Linked DNA regions of Coturnix japonica. The main gene of each other region encodes a partner of the protein of the gene in region 2 in a complex. Links are inferred from orthologs where the notes say so. Each region holds a gene or a part of one and is shown on either strand. Other genes may lie near its edges.

Region 1 (3,653 bases), on a different chromosome or scaffold from region 2:
ACAAGTCGCTAGAGATAGAGCCGCGAAATGTGAAGCCTCCACCGAGATTTGTTAGTATTTGTATTCTTTCTCATGTTCTCCCCAAAAATGCTTACATCTGTCTTTCTCAGATAGAGGTGATCTTCAATCTCTAACTTCATAAGTGCAAAACTATACTTTGGTGATTATTAGTGTGTGTGTGTTTTGAGTTTTTTTGTTTGATACATTTTTGTCTTTTTTTGTTATTTCAGCCCAAAAAGTACAGCTATCCTCTCAAGTCCCCAGGTGTTCGGCCATCTAATCCAAGGCCAGGCACCATGAGACACCCCACACCCCTGCAACAGGAACCAAGAAAAATTAGTTACAGCCGCATCCCAGAGAGTGAGACAGAAACTACAGCATCTGCACCAAACTCTCCACGAACGCCTCTGACCCCACCCCCCGCTTCTGCTACTTCAAGTACTACAGATGCTTGCAGTGTGTTTGACTCAGATCCTTCAAGTCCCTTTCATGCAAGTAGGTGGTAATAGTGTACAAAGGCTGTATATTAGATTTTGTGATCTTAAACAGGTAAAACCATGCTAAGTGACTATAGCAACATAGTCAATTTTTGTCTCCTTGTAGCAGGAAAAATTTTGAGTACATTTTACTACATTTTTATTAGTGGTTCTTGTTGTAGAGGGAGAAATTGAACAGAATTGGGCATTTTGGGTATTGCGTGTCTTTGGAGAAGCTGTTAAAGCAGAAGGCCAAAGATGCATCATCCTTAGTTCATGAATGTCCCAAACCAACACTTGTAGCATTTGCTGCCAGGTATGTGTGTGGTGAGTGTGTTTGGTGACTAGTGAGAATAGACATGAGTGTTTTGCAGGTGACTTAATCTGCTGCCTGCCATTACAAATCAGCTTCAGGGCACACGAGTGTTTTTCCTCAATAACTTAGTCTGTGTTGTCCTGCTTTAAATCAGTCAAGACCTATTACACTATTTTTCTTCTGTCTTCATCAGCATGCATGGAAGCTCATATTTTATTGTGTGCTTTCAATAATTTTTACAGGACGCAGTGCCCTGTAATGTAAAGGGCATGCAAAGGAAATACAGGGTTAGTCCCATTTTGAGCAGGTTGCCACAAAGAGGTGAACTAACTTGATAAAAGCTGTAGTTGCTTAGCAGTGCAGTGGCATTGCTGAGGGTCCAAGATGGCTTCCTGATTGTTTCTTCATAAGATATTTCTTCATTGTTGGATTGACACATAAGCTGCAAGTTCAGGATGTGGTTTTAGTGCTGCTGTGATATGAGAACAGCTTTGTGATGTGGGTTTTGATCTAGCGGATTACTTACAAAAGTGAGAATTAATGGCCACTGAGTTTATTGCAGTTCAGAAAAGCAGTTTGGAATCTTCAAGTTTGATGGTTGTTCAGTGGTATATTTCCTTAATACCTTCTTCATGCTGCATTTTATGAGCAAGTATTTTACTAAAGTAAAGGTACGCTGCTGTTAATGACACCTTTATTAGCATGCTAGAGGAAATACTCTATATTGAACAAAAACTCATTATTGAGATTTTTCACTCTGTGTTCACTAGGATCTGCTTCTGTGTCATCCATAAGCTTTACCAAAACTTCAGATGAAGCTCACGTTCCCCCACCAGTTCCTCCACGAAGACGACCAGAGTCTGCCCCAGCTGAATCCTCCCCATCAAAAGTAAGTTACAGCTAAAAAGGGTGTTTTTTATAAGAGAAAAGAGGAGAGTATTATAGGAAAAAGAAACTTTTAAAGATAATACATACATTTTTTTTGAACATCTATTTGTGAAACAGTAAGCAACCATGTATTTCAGGCCTGCCCAGCTTCACCATCTGCCTGCTCATTTGCTGTGATTAGGTCCTTCTGAGAACTTAAAGATGTTTCTGTCTGCAGTAATTGTTGTAGAAGATTGTTTTGGGTTGTATGATTTAGGGTAAAGAATTGAAGAACAGTAATGATGGAATGTGATGAACACTCCTTAGTCCCCTGAAATAACTCATTACAGTATTTGACACTGGATGCTGTGCTGCTCATTGCTTTCATTGTTGATTGCCCGTCCTGTTTTCCTGCCTGCTTGAGCCATTGCTACTTTTTGCCTTTTGCATTTGCGAGCAAGTCTAGCTTTTATTTTAGACAGTGTTATATTTCTCTTGATTTCAGTGGGAATTGATTGATGACTAGAGAATTGGATAGATTTGAGGATCCCACTCAAAATTACATTGTAGCATATGTCTTCTGACTTTCAAGAGAGCTTTCATATATCACTAAACATGATGTCCTTTTCAGACTGTAGGTCACTGTGCTGTCAGCCAACAGACTTCAGTGTGTCACAATCCTATCAAAATTCAGTTGGAAACGTTATAGATATGTTAGTGTGGTGGTGTGACCAATTACCTTGTCACTGTGGACTGCAGCTTGGGAACCATTCACTTCAATAATTCTACTTAGCTCCAGTTTCTGAGTGTAGTGTATTTTTTCCTCTGTTCAGCACCATTGCCCCTCTTTATTGCTCATTTTCTTGGAGAAATACATGGTCCTATTATCTGTCATTGGTACCTGTTACTGGGAAGGCAGTAGAAGATACCTAGACCTACCCAGCAGGCAGATCTGGAACCAGCATGTTGCTCCGATCACTCCTTGGCTTGCCTTTTTCCCTTTCCATGCATCTTCACTCCCTGCATCCCTGCCTGTTAACTCATTATTGATATGCCCATGCTCTTACTCTGGTACACATCCAGTCTGCTTGTCCTTTCTACATGCACTGTGCTGAGAAACATATTTTCCTGGGCATTGCTTCGCTACTCCCCATCTTCATTCTGCACTTGGCTTGCTGTGTCTTCTGCTGAAGTGGAAAGATCAGTCAGCAGGATAGGAATTCCATTTCACAGCAGGGTCTTGTTCTTTGCCACTCTAAAACTCTTATTAAATGAAATGTTTGTGTACCTCAGATTACTTCTGCGCACCTGGACAGCCCGCCAGCAATCCCTCCTAGGCAACCAACCTCTAAAGTGTATTCACCAAGGTACTCGGTGCCTGACCGGACCTGCATCTCTGACCCCCCTGAAAGCCCTCCTGTGTTACCACCACGAGAACCTGTGCGAACTCCAGATGTTTTCTCTAGCTCACCACTACACCTCCAGCCTCCACCACTGGGGAGAAAAAGCGAACTCGGTAACACCTTTTTCCCAAACAGTCCCTCTCCATTTACTCCCCCTCCCCCTCAGACACCTTCTCCACATGTAGCACGGAGGCATCTTCCATCACCACCTTTGATACAACAAGATGTGGACCTCCATCCTGTCGCTGGACCACCTGTTCCTCCACGACAAAGCACTTCTCAACATATCCCAAAGCTTCCTCCAAAAACTTACAAAAGGGAGCACACACACCCATCGATGCATCGAGACGGACCGCCCTTGCTGCAGAATGCCCACTCCTCCTGAACTGTCCCCTGCGCTGGGAGCTGCGTTTTCCTGGTGCTACGTCTGTTGCTGGCAATGGATGCACTGAACCTGGTGGTGCCAAGGAGTTGGGATGTGTATATGCCAAACACTAAAAACTCTCCAGTAAATTGGAAATGCAGTGTACAGAAATGGAATTGCAAAAACAGACATTCGAGTGGAAGAACTGGTTAATTCGCTGTTCTTGT
Region 2 (3,653 bases):
ATCCTAATAGATAAATAGTAGGAGAAGGATCTTTCAGTGATCTTTGAATTCAGCATGCTCATGAAGGTATGTGACCTACCAGTCCTACCTGGTATCAAGGTAGAAGAGACTTCCTTCATCCAGATAAGAATGGGCTGCATGTGCAGTCCAGGAGTTAAACTTGACATAGGTTATGCTGTGTGAATGAACAACTGTTCAATGGGTTTTTCCTAGCTCAGCAGTCTTCAATGTTGGCTTAGAACACTTTTTGCTAGGATTCTTATTCTCCAAGCAGCTATTGCCCTGCTAGCATCTATCTGATGATTAAGACTTAACTGATAGCTTTTTCTCCTCCATGTCTACTTGTATGGTTAACTCACTTGAGACTTAAGTGAAGTTCAGGTCTGGAAAGCTGGTTGCTGCAGTGGGACTGGGCAGAGCTGTTCTCTTCAGTCAGCTTCCTTTAGAAATGGAGAATTTGTTTCTTGATCAGTGCAAATACCTTGATCAGGCCAATTAATGGAGTGTACGGAAGGAGGGCAGCTCCCCACAGTGCTGGGAGGGTGGTGGGTGCAGTCTGCAACTGCCTTAATTGCAGTCCTACAGAGACAGCCTAATTATAAAAGACTTACTCTCAGTAGTAAAAAAACCCTTCAGTTGTCACTGAAGTCACCGTCTTGGCAAGGACGATAAGTATCATAGCTGTGAATGCTGGAGTTCCATAAGGGTAAGAGCAGAGCTGTAAGTAGTTACAGAGGGCCAATGTGTGCCTTGTGTACTTGGCAGCCCTCTGCTTGTGCCAGTAGTGCTGTGGCAGCAGTGGCACCAAGCCCTCCTGGTATAGCTTGTGCCTTCCAGAATGATGCCTCTGGCAGCTGGGCAGCCTGTTTGGCTGTGTGACTGTGCTGCTGCTGCCTTGATTGTGTTACGTTCCCTTTGCTACCAAAGGATCATCTCTGCTGTCACTCCAACAGGAAGCAAGAGCGTGGTATTTCTTGATGTATCCTTGCATTGTTATAAAGTGAGATTATAGGCCAGCCCTGGCCATGCAGGAAATAGCAATTAGTAAAGATGTCTCTTTCCCCCGTTATGTTGAAACAAATGAAGCCCACTTAGTATGGGTTATTTTAATCTAACTGGAGCGTAAGTGTGGCTGAACCTTGTCTAACTCCTGTTTCTGGCAGCCTAACTTCTTCATTACCCTGTCTGCTGACAGAGATCTACTACAATAGGTCACTTCACTTTGACAGTTTTCACAAGTTTGAGTCTACTAGACTAAATATTCATGATCTGTATAAATAAATTAGCAATATTTAAACTTGTTCACTCTTTTTCTTCCTGTCTCTGACTGAGTTTTCTGTAGCTTGATGTCAGCTGGCTTATTGGCCAAAGCCGTGCCACAGGTGCCATTGGGACACAGTGGTGCCGTATTCCTGTTGTGAATAGGAATACAGGAGACATGCAGTTAACACAGAGGTTGCTATCTGCAAGGAAGCACTGTAAGGTGGCCATAATTCTGTGGGCTTGACCTGCATTACATCACGCGTTTCTGTGGTGTCATTGGAAAGATGAGCTGAAAACAGCGAAACTGAAATGTCATTCATCTAATTGGAAGTGGGGGGTGAGGGGGAAGACATCCAAAAATTCTTAGAGAAAAATAAAACATTAAATTGTTACATAGCCTTAGCAAAGTTTATGTAACAGTTTCTAATTTCATTTTGAGTACTCAACAGCACTTCTGCACTTATTCTGGTTTTTAAATAACTGGCTTTTCTTTCAAAGTCTGACTTCAAGAACTCACTATCAAGAAGTTTGACAGGCTTGTGCCTTAATTTGACTAAATGTGTTGGAGCTAGTGATTTTTTTTTTTTTTTTTTCTTCTTTTCATCATAATAGAACTCCTGCTAAATTACATGACTGCTTCAGCTGGTAACTTGCATTGCTGATTTAATAAGCAGTTAGAACAATCTAGAAAAGAAAAATACCTGGTCTTAACTGGCAGCTCATATGGGGGGATTTGGTGGGGTGACTCCAGAGAGCTGCCGTTGCTTTGGAAGGGATGGGCAGCATGTAGTCACACAGCTGAGCAGCTGTTGATTCAACTGTCTAGAAAGGCAGGAATCCAGATTCACTGTGCAGTTTCTCTTTGGTGATCCAAATGTAGAGTTCCACTTAACACTAATTAAAAAAACCCACAACCTCATTAGCCTGGCCTAGTTCCCATTGCCTGTGTATGTAAGGTATTTGGGTCTCTGATTTGGCAGCTGATATTTTGAGTCCTTTTATCATCTGTGGATGCTGACTTCATTCCATTGTGTACGCTCTGCCCAGACTCTTTGGATGACATTATTTTTGTCAGGGCCTACACAAACCGTTCCTCTGGCCCTTCAGCATTCATCTGCTAAATGAACAGACTTCTTTCCTGTTCTCCCTATAGAGTCACAGCATGGATCGTTCCTTTTAGTACCCAGAATTATGATCCAGAACACATTTTTTCCTTAGCCGAATACGCTATGTAGGATGTGACAGCTTTACTTCTGCCTATTTTTGTCTTGACTTTGAAATAGATGGTAGCATAATCAAACTGTTGGTTCAAAAGCTATGAAAGTATGCATGTTCAAAACGCTGTTCTTTGCTTCTCTTTTAGTCTCTGTTGGAAAAGTTCTTGATCCCTAATGCTTCGCAAGCAGAAAGCAAAGTTTTCTATTTGAAAATGAAAGGTGATTATTACCGTTACTTGGCTGAGGTTGCTGCTGGAGATGACAAGAAAGGTATGTCAATTGTCGCTAAATCTTTGGTCAGTTTAGTGGACAGCAACGCTACAGTAACTTTTGGAATACTTCTTTTTCAGATTCTGCAGTCACAGAATCTTGAAATCAGATCCAGTGTATGCATACAAGAATGTGCCTTATCGCTGACATACCAGTTAATGCTTTTTTTCCTGGCTCTCTGAGTACTGTTTTTACCTCTTCGTAGGGAGTCACTGTAGCTTTCTGAAGTGCTTTAGTGCTAGTTCTCCTGCGTTTCTGCAGCACATAAGAACGTCTGTATAAGTTTAGTGAGCAGGGAGACTAGAATACACCTGGGGAAGGAAAGGATTAATGAAACAGATGTTCAGTAATTTTTTTCCATAACCACGGTAGTTTGATTTCTAAATGGTTTTTATTTCCTAAATTTCTCATGTAGCTTGTCCTCATAGCAGGTAAGTTGCCTTTACTCGTGTTTGGTAAGTAAAGTTAAAATAATGTACTTAACTGCAGCCATTAAGCCACCTAGTGTATTGAAGAGGCACCTAAATAACACCTTGTCTTTGTGCAGTCATCTTCAGTTCAGGAGAATCTATTACATTTAGATAGCACTGTTCACAGCAAACTCCAAGCTGTTTCCTGGAGCCAGTCTCCACAGTCTGCTGGATAGTAATGAAGACGAGTAAGATAAGACTTAATAAACAGTGTTTGATTTGACTTCTAGTGTTTGCTGCATGCAAGCTGACCTAGTCTTGGTGACTGCAGAACCACATGTGTAATAAATAAATGTGTTACTGTGTACCATAGCAGATGTATTTTTGTTCAGTAATCTCTCATTTACAAACTAGAAGGTACACTCTCATAAGGATAGTTACTGACTGTAAAATCTTTGTTTAATGTAACTTTAAGCTTCATTTTTATTCAGCT

Evidence for each region.
Region 1: the proteins of YWHAZ (region 2) and SOS1 are in contact, whole or in part, in a crystal structure (PDB 6F08), measured with the Homo sapiens proteins. The link is inferred for Coturnix japonica from reciprocal best matches to the Homo sapiens genes YWHAZ and SOS1. Residues at the interface, in NP_001129171.1 of Homo sapiens: Glu14, Asn38, Asn42, Ser45, Val46, Lys49, Arg56, Arg60, Phe117, Lys120, Arg127, Tyr128, Ile166, Gly169, Leu172, Asn173, Val176, Glu180, Asp213, Leu216, Ile217, Leu220, Asp223, Asn224, Leu227, Trp228; in NP_005624.2 of Homo sapiens: Arg1157, Arg1158, Pro1159, Glu1160, Ser1161, Ala1162, Pro1163, Ala1164, Glu1165, Ser1166.

The regions. Positions count from the first base shown.
Region 1 is NC_029518.1:14,465,124-14,468,776, reverse strand, and holds part of SOS1 (son of sevenless homolog 1), read left to right. Parts: coding exon 1-50; intron 51-230; coding exon 231-495; intron 496-1,562; coding exon 1,563-1,681; intron 1,682-2,952; coding exon 2,953-3,447; 3' UTR 3,448-3,653.
Region 2 is NC_029517.1:116,478,738-116,482,390, reverse strand, and holds part of YWHAZ (14-3-3 protein zeta/delta), read left to right. Parts: intron 1-2,626; coding exon 2,627-2,750; intron 2,751-3,653.